Linked DNA regions of Drosophila melanogaster. The protein of the gene in region 2 interacts with the protein of the main gene of each other region in a pairwise test. Each region holds a gene or a part of one and is shown on either strand. Other genes may lie near its edges.

Evidence for each region.
Region 1: the proteins of CG4570 (region 2) and CG15011 interact in a two-hybrid assay, tested with the Drosophila melanogaster proteins (2 studies listed by BioGRID).

Annotation. Positions count from the first base shown.
Region 1 is NT_037436.4:4,255,218-4,260,860, reverse strand, and holds CG15011 (uncharacterized protein), read left to right. Parts: upstream 1-1,708; 5' UTR 1,709-1,733; coding exon 1,734-1,848; intron 1,849-1,914; coding exon 1,915-2,525; intron 2,526-2,586; coding exon 2,587-2,745; intron 2,746-2,798; coding exon 2,799-2,915; intron 2,916-2,972; coding exon 2,973-3,089; intron 3,090-3,145; coding exon 3,146-3,277; intron 3,278-3,340; coding exon 3,341-3,549; intron 3,550-3,604; coding exon 3,605-3,785; intron 3,786-3,845; coding exon 3,846-4,301; intron 4,302-4,361; coding exon 4,362-4,787; 3' UTR 4,788-4,870; downstream 4,871-5,643. Other genes in the region: CG1309 (uncharacterized protein), read right to left, coding at 1-493, 601-752, 804-1,117, 1,193-1,318; CG1265 (uncharacterized protein), read right to left, coding at 4,931-5,061, 5,131-5,251, 5,566-5,643.
Region 2 is NT_033777.3:10,854,625-10,858,569, reverse strand, and holds CG4570 (uncharacterized protein), read right to left. Parts: upstream 1,764-3,945; 5' UTR 1,553-1,763; coding exon 725-1,552; 3' UTR 504-724; downstream 1-503. Other genes in the region: CG14694 (uncharacterized protein), read left to right, coding at 1-26, 89-350; CG4511 (uncharacterized protein), read right to left, coding at 2,803-3,276, 3,538-3,714.

The DNA.
Region 1 (5,643 bases), on a different chromosome or scaffold from region 2:
ATGCCCGCCAGTGCAGCTGGCATGCGAGGAACGGCCAAGTAGAGCACATCGTCGAAGGTGGCGTCTAGTACCACTCCCTTGACATCCGGATACACAGAGGCAGCGTATAGTGTACTAAAGCCACCAATGCTCCAGCCATACAAAATTATATCCTCTACGGGGAACCTAAGATTGTTGATGGCAAACTGCACCACGGCATCGATGGCGTTCTTGTCCTGGTGGGGATGAGGAGTGCCTGTGCTGCCGGCAAATCCGGGATGATTCCAGCCCAAAACGGAATACTTTAAGGCCACTGGGGTGGCCATAATGCCCACTTCATAAAAACCGGCATTGCCCTCGGAGCAAATGACTAGAGTCTTGCCATTTCCCACGTTGTTTGGGCGATTGTCAATGAACAACGTATCGATTTCGTTCGAGTCAATGGTCTTAACCTTGTAGCGGATGCCGTTGTCATCCTCGATGAGCTTGGCGCGTCCGGAGATCAGCATGGGTCCTGCAAAATATTTTAGGTTCAGTATATGTAGAAGTCTATCTTATGGGCTTATCGGATTGCAATTTAACAACATTTCAGACAGCTTCACATATGTATATCTTTCTTACTCATAAGTTTCTGGAGTAGTTTGACCGAACCCGGATAGATCATGGAGAGCCCAAAGGTGTTTATGGCCAGGTAGGCGATGGCCTCACAGGGCAGTGTCGCCAGCTGGATGGGCTCCCGCCTTCTAGCCGTAACCACCGGCTTTTTGGTATCACTGAAAACGAAGATGTTATTCTGGCACACTTCAAAGGCGTAGCCCACTCACCCGGTTAGAGCTTTCACATCAAAGTCCACCGGCCAAGCGTTGAACTCGATGTCGAAGCGACGCAGCTCGCTGTTGGCATCTCCTGGTGCCTTGGAGGACTTTGCTCGGACGAGGGCCTTAATCATGTTGGAGTAGGAGCGCGATTGCTTGCGCCCCAGGCCGCGCATCACCAGCGATAGGATGACGATGAGGCCCACGCTGGTGGTGATCTTGGCCAGCGTCGGTATGGAATCGGTCACCAGGTAGCCGCGTCGGTATAGGAATGTGACGAGCAGCGGAGAAGTATAATAGCCCACGGACCACATAACCGATAGCTGCAACGGAGAGTGTCGATTTTCCACATTACCATATGCTCCAGATTCTGCCCCATGGGATCGCAGGGCACTTACCGTCGATAGAATCTGCTCCCCGAACTTTTCCACGGCACCTGCCTCGTACATCTTGCGCTGCGGCTCCGGCACACCGCGGTATTCCATGTAGAGGTTGGGGCCAAACACGTAATTTAGGAAACTCATCTTGGATCGGATCGTAGTCGGTATGTCTGGATATATTTAATTTTCTCTATTTTATTTTGTTGCAAATGATGTGAAAGCTGTTCCAGGGTGTCGCACTCACGAACAGATGTTTAACATCGAATACCAGGGCTGCCACATTAGATACCTGACCTATTAATTGTAAACTTCAAAATGTTGGTCCAAATTATTAAATGCAATAAAATATGCAGAGAGGATGTTTGATAATTTAGGTATTAATGTGTATGTATGTATTTTTTTTGAATTAAATGAAATTCCCAATTGGAAACTGAAAGCTCACACAAATGTGTACCTTTCGGAACTAGATCCCCTAATTGCTGTTATCAGAGAACGAGCCATCCCTGGTTCTACCCCAGGAATTTATTCCCAGTTGATAGACAAAAACGCCGGCTTAAAAATGGAAAAGTTTAATAAAGCGCAAGCTAAAAATTTGGCTGCCGCCCAAAAACTGGTGGACACCTACGCCTCCAGCTCCGAGGATGAAGGCGAACTGGATGAGAATCACATTTTGGGTAAATCGACCGATGCTTGTGACGTGTCATTTGAAAACCATCAAATTTTGTGCTTTATCTTTTCAGAACTCCTATACAAGAACTACAAACCGTCGGACAACGCAGGAAGCTCAAAGGAAGCGGCACGCACCAGTACGTTTCTGGAAAACACTCTACACTCGGGAGCGGCAACCTGTCTCATTTGCATCGGAAGCATTCGGCGGGTGGAGGCCATTTGGTCTTGCGAGAGCTGTTACTGCTTCTTTCACTTGAAGTGCATCCAACGGTGGGCCAACGACAGCATGATGCAGATGAAGGTAAAGGCGGCAGAGCAGCAGAACGGCCAGGGCCACTACAATCATCTGGGCGAATTTGTGCCGCCCAAGCGACAGAAATCCCTTCACTGGTGCTGCCCCAAGTGCCGCAGGGACTACCAACCGGCCGATAAGCCCACGCAGTACAACTGCTTCTGCGGCAAGGAGGTGAACCCCGAGAACCAGCCCTTCCTTGTGCCCCACTCATGCGGAGAGCACTGCGGAAAGCTTTTGCAACCGAAGTGTGGGCACGATTGCAAGCTGCTATGTCATCCGGGGCCATGTCCTCCTTGTGCGCAGCAGGCGCAGGTCTCGTGCCTGTGTGGTAAATCTAGTCCTAGGTCCGTGAGGTGCATTGACAAGCAGTGGACGTGTCAGCAGACTGTAAGTCTTAACGTTTTAAGAAATTTTGTCTGACCACCATACTAAAAAAATGATTTTCCAGTGCAAGGAACTTCTAGCCTGCGGCAAGCACAAATGTAATCAGGTGTGTCATCAGCCAGGAAAGTGTCCTCCATGCACCAGCAAAAGCTTACAACCTTGCGAGTGCCAGCGGGAGTCGAAGATGGTCAACTGCTCCGATCGGAAATGGAAGTGTCAGAATGTAAGAAAAGCCTTTTGAAGCTGAAGCATAAAACAACATTAATATTCTTTCAGGTTTGTGGAGCTCCATTTGCTTGTGGTTTGCACATTTGCGAGAAGGTGTGTCACGCTGGACCCTGCGGAGATGGAGAGTGTCCTTTGCAAGTCAGGAGTTGCCCATGCGGCAAGAATGTATGTGATATATTTATTTACAAGTTTATATTCATTTATGATTACCTAATTCTGTAGACCCAGGTAAGACCCTGTAATGAGACAGAGGAAACCTGTGGCGATACGTGCCAAAAACTTTTGTCCTGTGGCCAGCACACTTGCACCCAGCGTTGTCATCGTGGACCTTGCATTTCCGTAAGATAGCCACCAGGGAAGCAAATCGATTCTCTAATGAAATATGTTTCTTACAGTGCCCAATAAGAACCAAAAAGAAGTGTCGTTGTGGTCTGCACGAAAAGGAGTTGCCCTGCTCCAAAGAGTTTGCATGCGAGACTAAATGCAAGCAAATGCGTGATTGCGGCAAGCATGCATGCAATAGAAAGGTATAAGAGCACGCAAGCATTTTAAATGTATACAGCCGAATTAACCAATAACCTTTTTTAAAGTGCTGTGGGGACCAGTGTCCACCGTGCGAAAAGATTTGTGGCAAGCAGCTGAGCTGCAACAAGCACAAATGTCAGTCCGTGTGCCACAACGGACCTTGCTATCCGTGTAAACTGGAATCCCAGATTAACTGCCGCTGTGGAAAGACCAAAAAAAGTGTTCCTTGTGGCAGGGAAAGAAGTGCACGCATTGTCTGCTTGGAACTCTGTCGGTTCGTATTTCTTTCGCAATATATAATGACCGACTTTTAATCTCACTTCTTGCAGCATAACTCCCAAATGTCACCATGCCATTAAGCATCGTTGTCACAAGGGTGACTGTCCTCCATGTGGCCAAGTGTGCGGTCTACCCAATGACACCAGCAAGTGTGGGCACATCTGTAAGGCACGATGCCACGAGGCAGTTAGAGTTAATAAACCCAAAGAGGCTAGGCCACAGGCCAAAAAGGTAACTATAATCACAAAACTCACCTATCTCAACATTAAAACTCTACAATTTGTTTTACAGTATGAGTATAAGGCATTACCACATCCACGGTGCGAGGAAGGCGTCATTGTCACCTGTATCGGAGGTCATGAGGTTGCCACTTGGCCATGCTGGAACTCCAAACCCACTTCCTGTCAGCGATCGTGTGCACGTCAGCTTAAGTGCGGCAATCACAAGTGTTCATTGGTTTGCCATTTCGTACCGCTTCCCCAGGATATGTCTGCGCAAACTGGCTGTGCCAACTGCGAGGAGGGTTGCACCGTTCCCCGACCAACCGGATGTATTCACGCCTGTCCCAAAGGATGTCATCCACCGCCCTGTGCGCCCTGCAACTTTGTGATTAAGACCAAGTGTCACTGTGGACTCAACCAGTTGGTTTACAAGTGCAACGAGTATTATGATGAAACGGGATCGGTCCAGGAGATCATCGAGCGAAGAGAAAAGCTACGGAGCTGCGGTAATCGATGCTTGAAGAATGTAAGTGCTGTAATATACCATTGTCGATCAAGCCTTACAGTGATATATATATTTTTTCAGTATCCTTGCGGACATCGCTGCACAGCCATCTGCCACACAGGCAAGTGCCCAAATCCCGAGTTGTGCCGCAAGAAGGTTCGCATTTTCTGCGCCTGCAAGCGACTCAAGCAGGAGATTGCCTGTGACAAACACCGTGCTGGTCAGACATTCTTGGATTGCGACTCGAACTGCAAGGCGGAGCAAATTCGCGTCCAGGCGGCAGAGCAACTGCAGCTGGAACAAAAGCGTCGCGACGAGGAAGAAAGAAACCGCCTGGAACTCGAGAAGTTCGAGGCCAAGTTCGGCAAACGCAAGCACAAGGAGCGCAAAACTGTGGGTTCTGGACCGGCCAAGACCAAGATCGATTGGCAACGTAGAGCAATCTATGCAGTATCCATTCTAACAGTTGTGGGTGCAATTGTGGTGGCTTTCTACGCGGACAGTTAAACGAGTAACAACAACCGATTCAAACAAGAATTTGTAATATCAATTTAAACAGATAAGCAAATAGAATTAAAACAATGACTGATAAGCATTTCCAGCCAGCGCAGTGTTTGTCTATGTTGAGCTTTTCTAATCAGGCTGGCCAATTACTCCGCCTTGGCCTTCTTCTTGTAGACGCAAGCGGCGGTGAAAACGGAGGCGCTAAGGAACGTCGAAATCAGGAAGTTTGATAGCAACATCCAATCGTGGGACTGGAAGAACACCGTGTAGATTCGAGCTGTAAGGGATACATATATGATGTGTTAATTGATGACATCAAGTGATGGAATGCAAGATGTGATCTCACTCATGTTTGTAAAGGCGGAGAGCGCCCATGTGGTTCTACTGACGGAACTGGCATCCTTGGTCCTCAGAATAGCCAGCAGCTGGAGGACCTTACTCGTGGCTCCAATGGGAGTGCAGAAAGGCTGACGGGAAATCAAACATTTAGATGAATTTCACGAGATTTATATATATTGCCCGAGCACTGAAAGTATTAATAGCCGCTCAAATATTATACAACAAACATCGGTGACCTTGAGCGAAGATGCTGCCCAGTTAAGAGCACCGCCTTTTCAAACTAAAACAAATAACAAATCAAACCAAACCCGTTTGCCCGGAAACATAATTAGTTAATTGGAAAAGAGAGCGGGGAACGGGTTTGAACTGCGCCGAAGTCGTTATCTGGGCAAGAATACCCGACTAATCAGTCACTAGGTGATATCAATACAGGCTTACTCACCACCAGGAACTTAAGGATGATAATGGGAAAGAGCTTCATGTATATGAGAGTGGCCACTATACTATACAGTATGGCCAC
Region 2 (3,945 bases):
TTTGCCTTCACCATAACAGTGGCCAGGTAAGCAGTTCTTGATCCTTTTCCAACAGGTGAAATTTACCAAATCTCGTAATACCTTATAGCTCGGAGTTGGCCAGCAGCTTGGAGGAGGATAGCTTCGCTCTGGTGTTTGGTTTCAACACGTTCGTGGGACTCCTCCTGCAGTGCATCCTCACATTTGTCGTCGTCTCGGAAAAGGCCAATCTGAATTTGAATGTTTTTCAACAGTTTTCCGTCTACGCATTCTATTTTATAGTTATTGGAATAGTCTATTCTATTGCTGTTATATTGCAATATATATGGTCAATTTCGAAGAAACCAAAAGCAATTCAGGAGGCGAATTAACAACATACTCTAATGATGAAAAAGTGTTCATTTATCAAATAAAATTGTTATACATATTTAAAGTTTGTTTAATAAAATAATAATTGGCTTGTATTCTGAAACATTATTACTTTTAAGAAATATTTCCCAAGCTGTTGAAACATCGTTGATATTATATTGTTTTACACTTTATTAAAATGTATATGTTTTTTTATAGTTATAGTTTCAAAAAATGAAGATATTTAATCCTACGCCGCGAATCTAATCAGAGTGTACCATGTACATTATATGGCCACTACAAACTTAATAATATGTCAAATTAAACAAGATCATGAACGTCGTTATTTTCAATACAACATTCAAGAATCAGGGTGCGATTGGAATCCACAGCTTGGCTAGCAGAACTCGGTCTGATCCCCGCCGTTGCGGAGGACCGCTGAGACCCGCCACGTCATCGACTCGTAGAGCATCTCAATTTTGTCCACCATGTCCTGGTCGCTGTGCCAGACGTCGTACAAGACGGCTCGAAACTCGCTGACATTTTTGGGCGCCTGATTCTGAATCCTCGGCTGGATGATGGCCATCAATTGCTCGAGGAGATTGAGGTCATTGCAGACACTGCCCTCCGGTCCCATCAGCGAGTCAAGGAAGATCTCCTTTGGCGGCGTTGATTCGTCGACGAATTTAAGATCGTCCATGTTGAAGATGTTGCGCCAGTCGCGCACGGTCCAATCCTGATGGGCGGTGGCCCAGGCCAACCTCCTTTTTTTCGCCCCCTCACTGAGGCCGAAAGTGCTGGGCTCCTTCGGCTGTGGCGATCCTCTCGGTTGCCGTATGCCTTTGGAGCGAATCTCGCTGATCCTGCGCTGCAAGGTCCTGCGGCTGACCTCTATGCCGTGTCGGGCCAACTCCCGCTGCACATCGATGGAGGTGTAGTGCGGATTGTCGCTCAGCATTTGCTCGACAATTTGCCGGTTCTCCAGGACCTTGGGTCTGCCAACATCGCGCTTCTTTTCCTCCTCCTGCGCAACCGCCACGGGCGCCGCTGTTTTCAGTTTTTGCGGCAACCTCAGCGTGGCAGTCTTCCCCTCGAGCAGCTCACACTCACGAATGCAGCTTATCACGCTCTCCACGTCGCACTCCAGGATCTGGGCTATCTCCTCACAGCTGTTCGAGCCCTTCAGCGCCTTCACAATACTTCGAACTTCGGGAGCGAGAACCATTTCGAATCACTTCTGTACACCTCGAGTTTCACAATACCAATGATGGTAAATCGAATCCTCGATGGGCGTTTTATGCACCTGGCAGGTAAAAGTTTTTGCACCGATTTTGACGATAGTCTGGACCGTAGTTTTATGGCGAGCAAGCTGCAATTGGCGGGATTACGGCGTCATTACAGGTAAATTCAGTTGGCGTCCCTTTTTGTCTTTGGCGGCCATTCCGTTATTCGTCTGCGGCAAGACTGGCAACCCTTGTGTTAAGGGAGGATTTTCGGAATCTCATGATCAGCTGTTCGGGGAAATACCATTACTTTAACTGCAGCGTAGTTTGTTCAAACCTATTATTTCAGGATTATTTCATTCAAAACTATTTAACCCGATGATCAGTTCTGTGTTTTCCAAGTAAGGTTTAATAATATCGATAAATGATGAAAATAATAAGTTCTTAAAGAAATTCTAGTCTTTTTGTTAAAAAGTCATATTTTAATAAAAAGCTGCCTTTCCCGTGTATGATTTAAATAAAATATTACCAAGAGTACGATCTGAAATGCAAAAAACCTGTGTGGGAACCATTTAAGTTTACAACCAATTACCAAGCGCTTGCAATTGTTTTGAACATGCTATTTAATCGTTGATTTCCTTTGATGCTTTGTAGAATTACAAAAATAAATATAAAAACTTGTACATATGTAAGTGTTAGTTACCTCTACTGTAGGAAATGCAATACACCTTTTATCGAAATTTTAAAAATATATATATGCCAGATATTTAGTTTCTTGTCTTTTATGCTCTGTGTATGTTAGTTTCTTGTTTTACGTACACCGTTTTCTGGAGGGCGAGGGCAGTTTGTAAAACTATGCTCAACTTAACATATATACGCAAAGGGTGCACATTCATTTGGAATTGCAAATACCATAAAGATCAAATTTTGAGTTCGCTTAAGCTCGCTAGAGTGGCGCAGCCTTCGAGGCAGCTGATTGAACTGATAGATATTAAAGCACATAATCGGGGGGGAAGGCAACCGAATTAGCCACTTACACTAGGTGGCGATGGGACCGTAGCAGAGGGATCGGAATCGTATAATTAAATAAATAACGCTAGAGTACGCCTAATTGGTTTAGATCCATGTGCTAGGTTTTGATTTGTGTGTGTCCGTTTTTGTTACTCCATCGCTTTTGAGTGTATCTTGTGTGGGAGTGTGGAACGAAAGCTGGAGCTTGGGTAATCGAGAGTGTGGGATGGACTGCCCGTAGTTAGTCATCCAGATCTATATCGGAGTCATCCGAGTCGTAGCCTCCACGTATTGTCTTCTGTGGGCGGTTGATGAATGGTTTGCGTTTCACATCTGGTGGCTGCATCAGATCGCCCTTGTAGTCAATGGCCCCCGAGTGGGCGATGCGCCACTCCAGCATTTCGGTGGCGAAGTCGTCGCAGTTGCCCAGATCGGTGAATCCGACAATGAAGTCCTTGGTCTTGCTGTCCTTCACCAGGGCGATGGTGGGTATCACCTTGATGCGCAGTCGCTGGGTGAGGAATGGAGTCTTTTCGGCATTCACCTTGCAAAACTTGGCCTCCACGTGCTTGGCCGCGAGGATCTTCAGGTGCATGTCCACGATCTTGCAGCGCTCGGTGCTGTCGCGGTAAAAGTGGCAAACAATGTTGGGCGACTTTTTCGACATCTCGAAGAACTCTTTTTCGTCGGCCAGCTCGGTGTAGGTGCCATGACCCTGGAAAAGATTAGCAATTTTGGGGATTAATGAGATTGTTGCGCTAACAAGGTTTTCTTTGAAAGTTAATTTTTACATATATATTTAAGTTTTGAGCTATTTAAGCTGGTAGCCCAATTTGAAAACTAATTTGAATTAATCGAAGCAAGTGTCGCGAATGTCTTAAAAGTCGCATGTTGAATACCATTTGGTCATATACCACTTAGAGAACAATCTCGAAGTATCTTCAATAATTGAGTGTTGTAAGAGATGATCACCTACGTTTCTGAGCCACTCCTGCTTCTTGTTGTTCAGGTCCTTCATTTCGCGGAGCCGCTGCTCCCGCAGGACCTTTAGGTCATCCGAATCGAGGTTGTCCAGGCGGTCGAGCTGCTGGTCCAGCTGCTGCTCGATGGTCTTGGCGGCCGTGAACAGTTGGTTCTCCAGGATGTTGGCCATGTTGTCCTCTTCCAGTTGCTGCTCCTCTGCGTGTCTTGATGTTTCTCCGTTATTTGCACTCTGCGTGTGGTGTGTTCGTGTTGGCGTCAATGGTTGCGCGTGTGTGCGTGTGGATCCGGCACAAATGGAAAGGCGTAGTCATGGAGCCGCAGATGCGTCATGTTTTGTGGAAAATTCAGTTAAGTAAGGCATGTTTTGGGGAAAGCGCAGCGCATTTCGATGGAGGCGCCC